Linked DNA regions of Caenorhabditis elegans. Each later gene encodes a partner of the first gene's protein in a complex. Each region holds a gene or a part of one and is shown in the gene's direction. Other genes may lie near its edges. The genes, in order: sep-1 and ify-1.

The links.
Region 2: the proteins of sep-1 (region 1) and ify-1 are in contact, whole or in part, in a cryo-EM structure (PDB 5MZ6), measured with the Caenorhabditis elegans proteins. Residues at the interface, in NP_491160.1 of Caenorhabditis elegans: Asn22 (codon at 1,870), Cys25 (codon at 1,879), Ile28 (codon at 1,888), Glu32 (codon at 1,900), Ile55 (codon at 1,969), Asp56 (codon at 1,972), Met57 (codon at 1,975), Asn58 (codon at 1,978), Lys81 (codon at 2,047), Arg84 (codon at 2,056), Thr85 (codon at 2,059), Cys87 (codon at 2,065), Lys88 (codon at 2,068), Ile91 (codon at 2,077), Arg130 (codon at 2,194), Asp144 (codon at 2,236), Thr145 (codon at 2,239), Leu146 (codon at 2,242), Arg217 (codon at 2,455), Ser218 (codon at 2,458), Phe219 (codon at 2,461), Ser220 (codon at 2,464), Leu261 (codon at 2,637), Arg268 (codon at 2,658), Asn269 (codon at 2,661), Arg270 (codon at 2,664), Ser277 (codon at 2,685), Gln278 (codon at 2,688), Phe279 (codon at 2,691), Glu296 (codon at 2,742); in NP_494931.1 of Caenorhabditis elegans: Leu118 (codon at 2,576), Ala119 (codon at 2,579), Ala120 (codon at 2,582), Asp121 (codon at 2,585), Ile122 (codon at 2,588), Glu123 (codon at 2,591), Asp124 (codon at 2,594), Asp125 (codon at 2,597), Met126 (codon at 2,600), Leu127 (codon at 2,603), Asn128 (codon at 2,606), Glu130 (codon at 2,612), Asp131 (codon at 2,615), Gln132 (codon at 2,618), Asp133 (codon at 2,621), Val134 (codon at 2,624), Val135 (codon at 2,627), Leu136 (codon at 2,630), Ser137 (codon at 2,633), Glu138 (codon at 2,636), Asp139 (codon at 2,639), Arg140 (codon at 2,642), Tyr142 (codon at 2,648), Gly143 (codon at 2,651), Asp144 (codon at 2,654), Val145 (codon at 2,657), Ile146 (codon at 2,660), Asp147 (codon at 2,663), Pro148 (codon at 2,666), Ala149 (codon at 2,669).

Annotation. Positions count from the first base shown.
Region 1 is NC_003279.8:3,432,603-3,440,339, reverse strand, and holds sep-1 (Separin homolog sep-1), read left to right. Parts: upstream 1-1,796; 5' UTR 1,797-1,806; coding exon 1,807-2,550; intron 2,551-2,600; coding exon 2,601-2,760; intron 2,761-2,817; coding exon 2,818-3,217; intron 3,218-3,949; coding exon 3,950-4,175; intron 4,176-4,224; coding exon 4,225-4,347; intron 4,348-4,398; coding exon 4,399-4,700; intron 4,701-4,750; coding exon 4,751-5,645; intron 5,646-5,999; coding exon 6,000-6,178; intron 6,179-6,228; coding exon 6,229-6,324; intron 6,325-6,376; coding exon 6,377-7,040; 3' UTR 7,041-7,182; downstream 7,183-7,737. Other genes in the region: Y47G6A.13 (non-specific serine/threonine protein kinase), read left to right, coding at 66-155, 207-594, 646-726, 830-903; nefr-1 (Protein kinase domain-containing protein), read right to left, coding at 996-1,101, 1,161-1,232; neto-1 (CUB domain-containing protein), read right to left, coding at 7,211-7,230, 7,282-7,524. UniProt on the Caenorhabditis elegans protein: Cysteine protease, which plays a central role in homologous chromosome separation during meiosis I and in sister chromatid separation during embryonic mitosis.
Region 2 is NC_003280.10:5,053,401-5,057,219, reverse strand, and holds ify-1 (Securin-like protein), read left to right. Parts: upstream 1-2,040; 5' UTR 2,041-2,064; coding exon 2,065-2,131; intron 2,132-2,181; coding exon 2,182-2,405; intron 2,406-2,515; coding exon 2,516-2,959; 3' UTR 2,960-3,085; downstream 3,086-3,819. Other genes in the region: C27A2.12 (Histidine acid phosphatase), read left to right, coding at 1-3, 48-140, 188-469, 519-668, 711-992; rpl-22 (Large ribosomal subunit protein eL22), read right to left, coding at 1,042-1,186, 1,233-1,357, 1,476-1,598; F33G12.6 (PPM-type phosphatase domain-containing protein), read right to left, coding at 3,560-3,701, 3,754-3,819. UniProt on the Caenorhabditis elegans protein: Acts as a chaperone and as an inhibitor for separase sep-1. Plays an essential role in maintaining chromosome cohesion prior to meiotic and mitotic anaphase, in cytokinesis and in organizing the spindle and the centrosome.

The DNA of each region.
Region 1 (7,737 bases):
CATCAAAAATGGTACTCACAAGAAAATGCATTTTTCGGCATTTTGAACATTTTGCACATTTACAGGATCTCCCCGACGAGCTCAAATCAATCTTCGAGTACCTGAGAACTCTGAGCTACGCAGATCGCCCGAACTATGAGAAGATTTATAATCTGGTAGCGTTTTTCTCGAAATAGAATCCGATTAACAATTAAGAAATTTTTCAGCTGATGGCGGCTATCACCAGACTGAAGATCAACTTTCTGGATCCATATGAATGGGAAGACGACGAGATGGAAAGAATGGCAAAAGCTGAGAAAGAGGAAAAAGAGAAGGAAGAGAAGGAGAAAAAGGAAAAGGAAAATAAGGAGAATGAGTTGTCTGCCGATTCGATGAAAACTGCGATTCCAGCAAAGTCAGCGAAAGCCGAGTCGGAAGTTGCTGGAGAGGTTGATGAGCAGAAGAAGGTGAAGGATAACAGTTCCGGTGAACAGCAGCAGGATACGTTGAATGTGGATAAGGGCAACAAGTTGATCAGTGCAAAAGATATGGCTAGCAGTCGTTCGGAGGTTAACGAAAACTCGCAGTATGGGACTCCGGCGAAAGCGGGAAATTGTGAGTGGATTTTTTTCCCGACAGAAATTGACATTTATACTTGCTTTTCAGCTGTTACGGGAGATTCAATCGACATGGAAACTGCCATTGAATGCGATCAAATGGAATACAACTCGAAGAAGGCGTTGCCAAGTGAGAATTTCATGTTTATAACCTCGAAATGGGCTAAAATGAACGAAATTTGTTAATTTGAGCACATTTTGAGTCTGTTCAATCAAAAATCTCTATTTTACAGGAGACGAGCTTCAATTCGTCGTATATCCGGCAATTGCTCCTCGAAACTTCACCGAAGTCAAAATTCCCTTCTGATGCGACTTGAAATCATTCTCCCGAAGAATTCTCACTACTTTAATGACAATAAATGTTTTTTGTGAGGGGAAAAAATTCAGGAAAATGCCTACTTTGTTCGAGTCGAGCTTGCATTCTCTGAATGTGCTTCTTTTTCTCGTTTTGCACTCGTTGAAGTTCCTCCTTTATTCGTTCGATTTCTTCCTCGTCGAGAAAACTCTGGAAAAAAGTTGTTGGTTTTTTTTTCTAAATTCATTTTTTGGATCGTTATTAAGAACCTCGTCGGCTTCTCTCGATTCCATTCGCTTAAACGAGTGTCTCTTTGTCGGCGCTTGCTTGATACGCGGCATGTCGACTGAAAAAATGTAAATAATTCAATAAACAAGAAAAGTTTTAAACAAAAATTAAACGAATTTTGGGGCTCAAACTTTGAAAAGTAGAATTTACCGCACTGTCGTAAAGTTTGGTGTTTTGTACGCAGTTGCACCGCACGCGCATTCACGGACTTCAAAATCGGAGGGAAATTTTTTATTTTTGCCTCGAAAATCGTTTCATTTTCAATTTTCCTCGATTTCCGGTGAAAATCAATAAAAAAACTTGCTTCAACTTGCTAAAACTTGCAAAAAAACTTATTTTAATTCAAGATCTGGTGGAATTCCGGATCTGGCACCGTGCCAACTCTTATAAGAGATTTTTAAGAAAAAGTGACAACGTTGCTCCAATGTTACGCGTCGCGTATGTGAAGCGTATCATCTAGAAGAAAATTTTTTAAATTTTTTAGAAGATAACGTGCGTTGAAACCCTTTCATTTTCAATTTTTCCTCGATTTTTAATGAAAATCAATCAAAAAACTTGCTTTTTATGTATGTAATAATGTTAATTCCATTAAAACAGTTTAATTTTAATTTTTCTAGATAAACTTTCATGAAGATCACAAACAAGTCAGTTGACAAGCAGCACATCGAAAAACTAGATGAGCTACGCAAAAATGTGAGCTGCACGGTGATCGGGTTTGCCGAACAAACTGCCGAGTTGCAACAGGAGATTTCCGAGCTTTTTATCGCCGAATTCGGCGTCAATGGACCGATTGACATGAACTCGCTGAGCAAATTGGCTCGAATCACCTCATACTACGCCTCGTCCGAATACTTTCAAGGACTTGCGAAGTATCAACGAACCGCATGCAAAATGTTCATCACGTGGCAAACTCTACGAAAGGAGGCGATGGAGTGTCGGAGCAAAGATCGAGAGATTTTCGCGAGTATTCCCGCGAAACTCTGCTTTTTCTACTTTTACAACGGAGAACTGTGCAGAGCAGTCGTGTGCCTGCTCGACTACATCGACCTATCAGACGACACTCTGGCCAAGGAAGCTGCTCTTCGATGGTTGATGTTTCTCGGCGAGACCGAGCTAATTGAGAAGAAGCTGAAGACGTGGAAAATGGATAAAAGCTCGAAAGACATGTTCTCGGCTACCGAATTCGCGATGAACTACCTGAAAAAGTCAGAGTATCGCGTGGAAATGCTCGAAAAGCTGATGAAGCTTCGCGATAAAGTCAAATCGGATCCTACTCGCTCATTTTCGAGATACGAGTTGGCTTCTTATGTCTCTTGGTTGTGCTCAACGTTGAGCAATGTTCCCGTTGGATCCGCACTCAGGGAGTGTGAGGTATGAAGCGATGGTTTTGTGTTCTAAAATATATTTTATAATTATTTCAGTTCCCGGATCGTGTGTCCCATATTCAAGAAGCAGCATTAAAAAGTGATTCACTTGTGCGTAATCGAATTCCTGGCCTCGCCAGCTCTCAATTCGACAACTCGGTTAATGCATCAATTTGGCCATTTCTAGACGGGCATCAAGAAGATAGCAATTATTATGGTATAAATTGTTGAAAAAAAAAATATATAATTTCAAACACAATTTCTACATTTTCAGTGCACATTGGCAGTACAATCGCTTGGCACTTTGAGATGCGTCGGGAGTGTGCTCTCGTCAACGTCACCACCGCCCAAACTCGTGATTCGATGTCGGCAATGATTCTGAATCTTCGTGTCGCATTAAAATCGGCTTCATTCTTTCGAGTTCTTCAGACAACCAACACATTAGCCTACTATTCGAGTATCATCGAAGAAGCCGGAAGTGAGAAGAACGCGAAATTAATGAGAGTATCGTGTGTTAATTTGCTGTCGTCTAATCCGATAATTGTTCGGTGTAGCACTCCGAAGGAGACGGGAGCCACTTCGAGAGCTCATACACCGATGGCAGGGAGTAGTGTATCGGAGAAACAGAACACGATGAGACCTGATCTGGCTGATCTGTTGGGAGATCTCGAATTGTGAGAATTGGATTGCTGGAATATTTAGATTCAGAATAGAATTTGACCCTACAGAGACGGCGCGCAAGAAAAAATAGGCTTAACTGTTTTCCACATTCTTAAAAATAACGTATCAATTTCCCCTCGATTTTATCGAGCTGAATCACGCGCTTCAGGCTTCCCCAAATTTTTAAATGTAAGAATTTTCCGAATTAAGCCATTTGGACTCGGCCCCGGCCGGGGTAGATTTACGGCGCTTTGCGTGTCGCGTCGCGGCTCAATTGAATTAGAATCAAGGGTGCCATTTTTCGATACTTTTCAGTGAAAATCGAAAAATCGAAAAACGAAAATTTTCGATTTTTCGATTCCCTGGAAAATCGAAAAATCGCAAAAATATGTTCAGAAAATTAACCATAAAATACCTATGATTTTTTTTGCATATATTTATTAGAAAAAAAACATACAAGTTTCTTCTAAAAAGAAGAATAATAGCCAAAATATAAAGCTAATTTTTGAAAAATCAAAAAATCGAAAAATTTTCGTTTTTCGATTTTCTGAAAAAATCGAAAAATTTTCGTTTTTCGATTTTCTGAAAAAATCGAAAAACCGACACCCTTCATTAGAATGACCTGAATTGCTTAAAAGTGTTGAAAAAGCCGCTTTTCTAAAAATCAAATTCTACCGAGCGATTTTTCTGAGACATCACACGAAAGCCGCTCCCATAATATAAAATTATTCAATTAACTCTTCCAGACTCGATGAACAATCATTCCATCCGATCACCCGATCCTGCGTCTGCAATGTCTGCACGATTTACCCGCTGCATAGCTCATTCGCCGCCGAATACATGATGTCCTACGCAATTCACTCGGATTTCTCGCAACTCTCCATCAAACATTTCAACGACGAGTTCGCGAGAATCAGAGAGCGTGGAATGTCTAGTCAGGTTCTGATGCATCGGGACTCGAGTGTGAGGCCGGTGGGTTGCTCTGGAAATTCAAAAACAATAAAATACAAACTTATTGCAGAGACCGAATATCATTCAAAACGAGATTTTCGGCATGTGTGTGATCCGGTGGCTGACGAAAAAGTTGGATTCGAAAGAAAGTGCTGACGAGGATACGATGGAGATTTTCAACAACGCGTTGAAGGTATAAAATATTTGATTTGGAAAATGGGAAAATCGAAATTTCATCTTTCAGATCGTGAGATATCTTCAACAACGAACAACCGATATGATTCTCGCAGTGACACAACTTGGACGACAACTCGAGTTTCCCATGGAATGCAACTATAGCTGGATGCGGCCAACGATCCGGAAACCACGTGTCAAGGCAACGATCGATTGTGCCGTCGACATTCTTCGCGCGGTTTCTCCGTTCGGACGTCGTCCGAAAGTTGAGAAACTGGAGAAGAATCTTCAGCCTTTCGATAAGGAACGCTTCGAGAAGGTTCGGCTTGCCATGCGGAACGAGATGAACCACTACGGCCATATTCTATACAGGTTTGAAATTTAGAATTAAAAAATGAATATATATTTCAAAAATTTTCCAGAGAATGGCGTTGCCGCTTGTTCGCCTACGTCGGAAGAACATCACGTGATCCTTGGGAGGCTGCGTACGCATGGGCCGAGTCAACACAGATCGGAGCTCGTAACGCTGTACAGAGCCGACTTGAGAAGTGCAAGAGAGGATTGGTGACAATGTCGGGACATGATCGCTTCAAAACGTGTGTACAGTCGATGCCAGACGAGATGACGCTTGTACAGATTGCGATGGCCGATGATAAGACGATTTATTTGGTGAAACTGCACGCGGATCGTGATCCGATCATCATGCCACTGGCACACTACTCTCAAGCCGTCGAATTGATGGATAAATTCACGTTTTTGTTGGATGAAGACGAGATGATAGCAAAGTATCCCGGAGACATTACACCAGAAGAGTTTTGGAAACGACGGAAAATTGTGGATGGTAGAATGATGACGTTTGTTGACGAGGTTCAGAAGCATTTCCTAGGTGTTGCGGCGAGTCTTCTGATGCCGTCTGGACAGTTGGGCCCGAAAGCGGCAGAACTTGCAATTAAAATCCACAAGTTGTCGAAAGGAGGACTCCTTCTGGGAGAGGCCAAGGAGATGGTATATCAGTCAAAGTTGATGGATGCGAAATCCTGGGAAGCGCTGATTCTTCGATTCTGTGAGATGAGAACTACCGATGAGAAGTTCAAATCGTTCCTGCCGCTGATGCACAGGAATTCGGTTGAAGTAATGAATCAGGATGATTCGATTGTTACGGAAAAGAAGTACACGTACCTTGTCATCTGTCCCCATCTTTCTCAATTCTGTTGGGAGCGATTGCCGATTTTCGATGAGTATCCATATGTGGGACGTCAAGTATCGATTCACTCGACTTTTAGTCAGTTGGAAGCAATGAAAAGTCAGGAGAAACAGGTATGATCTTGAATGGAAAATATTACCAGAATACACAAAAATTCTGAAAATGCGTATTTCGCAACCTATTTGATGCGCAAAATATCTCGTAGGGAAAGCTACAGTAATTCTTTAAATGATTACTGTAGCGCTTGTGTCGATTTGTTTTCTAGATTTTTGGTTTCGAAAATAAATTCATTTCAAAAATCGAGATCCCGTAAATCGACACAAGCGCTACAGTAGCCATTCGAAGAGTTACTGTAGTTTTCCCTACGAGATATTTTGCGCATCAACAATGCTGCGCAATACGCATTACCAGCTGAAATACTTTCCATATAAGTTTTTATTGAAAAAAAAATTATTTCTTAACTTCAGATTCCTCTACAAATCGACGTACAAAACGCCTACTACATTCTCGATCCTGACAACAATTTGGGCGAAACACAAAAACGAATGGTCGAATATATCAATAAGTTCAATTGGGAAGGAACTGTTGGCTCGGCGCCAAAATCGAATGAGATTAGCGCCGCGTTGTCTCAACGCGATGCGTTTTTGTAAGTTCTGAGATTGAGCTGGATTGAATATCAACAAAAAAAATTTCCAGCTTTATTGGACATGGCTCTGGATCTTCGGTTATGCCACGATCTGTGCTCAAGCAGTCGACGTGTAATGCGATCAGTTTGCTGATGGGTTGTGGAAGGTTAATATAATTTATTTTGATTGATTTTCAACTAATTTTGCCTTTATTTTAGTGTCCGAACAATTCCACAAGCTCTCGGTTTTGATGGAAAAACGGCGATTCTGGACTACGCGATGGCAAAGTGTCCACTGATCGTTGGATGCTTATGGACTGTCACTGATGGTGAAATCGATCGTTTCTTGATTCGAATGATCGATGATTGTTTCGAAGATTCCAAATCGCTCACCGGAATCGACAAGCTTCGTCAGCTATCGGAGGCTATGCACGAGGCCAGATCAAAAGCCAGACTGAAATATTTGACCGGTGCCGCTGTGGTGATGTATGGATTGCCAGTTGTTGCAAAGCAAACGACGCCATTCGTGGAAAAGGATCAGAGAAACTTGCCGCAGACTCCGAAGACTTCAGCCCGAACTTCGATGCGAATGGAAACTGTGCCGAAGACACCGAAACAAGAATTTGTTACATCGAAGTCTGTTCCAATGACTCCAATTTTCTCAAATAATGAGAACAAGTCTCCAAGCCGAGCAAGGATGCCAAGCAGAGTTCTGAAGACACCTCGTCAGGTGAAAACGTTCCAAGAGGAAGATGATGAAGCTCCGAAACGGTCGACAACGCGGCAGCTGAAACCGCTGGTTGCACCACCTATTCCAGCAACACCGACGACTAGAACAACTCGCTCAAGTGCCCGAACTCCATCAAGATCCCGAAATTTGTAATATAATCTGACCCGAAGGATCTTAAGGATCGTTATTTTATTTTGCACAGGTGCTTATCTCCCGGGTTTCTTATTGTATTCTTTGACACTACTAGTCAACTAAGTTTTATTATTATCGTGTAAAATAAATGATTGAATGATTTATTCATTTTGGACCAGCTTTCAGTGACATCAGAGGATCGGAGGAAGAGCTGGAAATATGGCACTTTAAATTGAGAAAAGCCATCCGCGGGGCCACCTACCACAATTATTTTTGCGTATAGTGTAGAAACAAATGAGTGAGACCACAATGAGCACAATAAGAATAATCGAAACAAGCGGAGCAAATCCGCTTGCCAAAAAGCTGAAAATCGTGTCCTGACCGACGGAGCAGACACGTTCGTCACGTCCGTACGGGCAATTGGGCCGCCCGTTACACGCCAACGATTTTGGGACACAATTCTCGTCTCCACACGCGAAAAGACCTTCTTGGGTGCAATTTTTCACTGAAAATTTGAATTTGAGCTGATCTTAAGCGCAATTTTTATTACGCTCGATATGCAAACGCGCTTCACGGCCACAGTTGGGTCTCGTTAGGTATTTATTATTATTATTCAAACGTTTTCAATTAGTTTCAAGCAATTTTCGTCTTTTTTGTTATGTTTTCCATTGTATTTGAAGATTTTTAGGTCGAAAAATATTATTTTTGAATAAATATT
Region 2 (3,819 bases), on another chromosome or scaffold:
AAGGTATGAGAAGTGAAACCAGTTATAATTTAAAAATTTAATTCCAGTATGTGAACACAACTTTATTATTGTCTGAACTATTTAATCAAACATTTACATGGGATAACATGTGGCAAGTTCATGATGCTGTTATGATTCAAGTACTTGGTCTACTTAATTTTAAAACCTTTTAAAATTTAATTTTCAGAAAATTCACTTTCCAGAATCTGTACTAAATCAAACATGGTATTCTGATGAATTCTTTGAGAATCTTGACGATTTAGAAAGACCTTCAAAAGCATTCGTTACGGGACTTTATGATCCGCCAATTGTTCAAGGCATCAATGTACGAAGAGAAATCTTAAAAACACGGGGTGGCCCAATGATAAACGATATATCTGCAAGAATGAGAACGAAAGCAACTTGTGCTAAAAATGAAGCCAAATGTGACAATTATCACAAAAATCTGAAATACTACGCTTACTCTACAGTAATCACAACTCCTCTGTACTTGTATAATAGAATCATTTTAATTTCAGCATGATCACACAGTATTCGCTCTCCTCGCTGTGTTAGGAATTGAGGATATTGTTGCAGGACCTGAGAAATATGGCGAGTGGCCTGACTATGCTTCAGATATCGCGATCGAACTGTTCCATAATAAAACGGACGAGAAGCCCTATTTCAGAGTATGTTTCGATTCATAATGCCATCTCATCGCATAATTGCAGGTGCTGTATCAGAAAAATGTTCATTCAACTTTCGAAACTGTCACGTCGAGAATCAAGGGATGCCGAGGAGAACAGTTCTGCGACATGCGAACATTCGAAAACAAAGCAAAGGAATCCCGGCCAGACCGACCCATCCACGAGTTCTGCGAAATACCACCAGGGGAGGATAACAGAGTTACAACCTGGATAAGAAAATTTTTGCATCAAAATTCCGATTTCGAATCATCTTCACCACTCATTCCCTACTGGTACTCGATAATAATCATATTGCTGTTTTTCTAATGAAGCCTGATTTGAAACAACAATTTATTCCAACAACAAAAAACCGAGTTTACTCGTGGTCGCTTCCTGCGTCCTCTCCGTCGTTGATGTGGAAGTATCTGACCTCGTAGGTGTTCTTGTTGACAGCGACCACACGGAGCCAATCACGGAGGGAGTTTCTCTTGAGGTACTTCTTGGTAAGGTACTTGAGGTATCTGAATATAAAAATATGAGAACAAGTTTGATTGAATAAAATGCTACCTCTTCGAGAATGGGACCTCGGAGACGACTGAGACCTTGGACTTGGCGACCTCGACCTTGACGTTGTTAGCGGCCAAATGTCCGGTCTTTCCATTGACCTTGATCTTCTCGTTCAAGAAGGCTTCCTGAAAACAACCGGGACTTACTAGGGACCAATATATACCCTAAGCCTGGTCTTGCGATAGAGACGGGAACTCTATCGACTTGATGAGGCTGATTAATTTTAAAAAGCCTACAACTTACAAGATCTTCGATTCTGAGAATTCCATCCTCAACTGGGTTCTTGCACTCAACGTTGAACTTGAGGTGCACCTTCTTCTTGCGAAGAGCCTTCTTGGCCGACTTGGCGTGTGGCTTTGGGACCATGATTACCTGAAAGTAAAAATTGAGATCTTACAAAATATTATCGGCATCTTCAGGAATAAACGATCATGAAAATAACAAAAAACGATTTCGAAAGCTACACAATATTAAATTGTTTTAAATCTGCTGAAAAAAGCTTGCGTGAAGGTAAAACCCAGAAAAGAAGCAAATTTAGGCCGAGAACTCTACTCATTTTCCAAGTCGGCGTCCCAACACGACAATAACTACGGTCACACTCGTTTCAGCTGTGCGTACCTCCCTCTTATGCATCTGCGCTCTATGGCACTTCGAAGACGCCGGCTAGTTTAAATCATTGATTTTTCCTTTTCACATTTTGTTTCCATCTTTTTGCGGCAAAACGTGAACAATTTAAATTCTTTTGCATCATCGAAACAATTTTTGTATTCATTCCTACTAATTGAAAACTGGCATTCGTACTTTCTAGCTATTCATACTCGCACAAGTCAAAATGGAGGATCTAAACTTCGAAGAAAGAGGAAGCACCCAGATACCAGCCTCCTTGCAACAACACTTCAGTAAGTTTTATTTTAATATATTTATTTTACTTATAACGTCTTTGTTTTAGGTGCAAAGCTAGGCAGACAAAATGAACTTGAAAAGACACCTTCTCGTGGCGGTTTGGGGCTGGTTGTAAACTCGTCAAAAACTCCTGGCGGAAAATCGCTTCAGAGCTTGGCATCGGCTTGTAAAGTGCCACCTTCAACCAAGAAGAACACTATTCCAATTGCTTTTGAATGTTATGAAGATGAGACAGATGATCAGATTGCCGATGTGGCCACCATTAAAAAGGTGATGTTTTCTTCCAGCATAATTATTAAAAGAAAAGAAAACTACGGAAGTTTTAATCTTAAAACAATTAAAAGTATTGCTTCATAATTTTTATTTTCATCATTTTCTAGACCGAAAAACATCCATGCTCTCCAATCGACACTGCAAACCGATGTGAAACATTCGATTCGCTAGCTGCTGACATTGAGGACGATATGCTTAATTTGGAAGATCAAGACGTCGTACTTTCTGAAGATCGGCCATATGGAGACGTTATCGATCCGGCAGAGTCTGAAGCAGAAGCTCTTGCTGAATTGGGAGTCGAGGAATGGGACTCATATCCACCAATTGATCCAGCTTCAAGAATTGGCGACGATTTCAATTATGTGCTCAGAACAGAGGATTTCGCGGAAGAAGGTGATGTGAAACTCGAAGAAACTCGCCATCGGACTGTTATTGCTGATATTGATGAAGTGAAAATGAGTAAGGCTGAAAGAAATGAACTCTTTTCGATGCTTGCGGACGATTTGGATAGTTACGACCTCCTCGCCGAAGAAGCCAACCTTCCCCTGTGATTTCCCACGACGTCAGCCTCTTCTACCTGTTTTACATATATTGGCGAAATCACCCTCGCCCCACAATCATTCCCCCCACTGGTAATTTTCTATGTCCATTCTCTGAACAATGAAACGGTATATCAATGTATTTTATAACTGTTTCAGATGTTTTTGTCTTATAAAAAGTTTTCCAGGAGCTTTTCCCGAAAAATATGTACGGAAAGACGTTTGATGTCTACTATGAAAAGACATAGAAAAAATTCGCGAAGCATTTTTGGAATTTGTTTGAATTAATCTAATATTCCAGGTGTTGGATTGAAGTATTTATTTGACAGAAATTCGACATTTACCGAGGCAAAAACGATTGAGAGGAAATTTGTTTCAAATTATTTAATTCACTCGTAAGCGAAAAAACGGATGTTTTCCGTTTCGAAAGAAATGAATACAAGAAAAGACAAATTTGGCAAAAATTGTAATTTTCTTTCCTATAAATGAATGACTGCGCAGTGATAAAATATCGAAAAGATCGGGTGAAAAACATGGAAGCAAATTATATTCATCGGGATAGCAAAATCTCAGTGGTAGGATAAGTATGGAAATATACATTTGACGAGGTGTTTAGACATTGGTGGCTTTCATTGAGATTTTCATAGTGGATTGGTCAACATTGGATAATGTACGATTCGATCCCAACATGCTTCTGATTCGTTGGCGAAGTGTGTTACGATCGGCATTTGCGGAACTCAAGCTGACATCACCTCTGAAAAAATTAAACTTTGTTTGGAATTTTCAAAATTAAAATGCAAGAAAACCTTATGTCGTCAGCAGTTTTTTGATCTTCTTTCTTGGTCACAAGCTTCTTGAGCCATTGGACATCA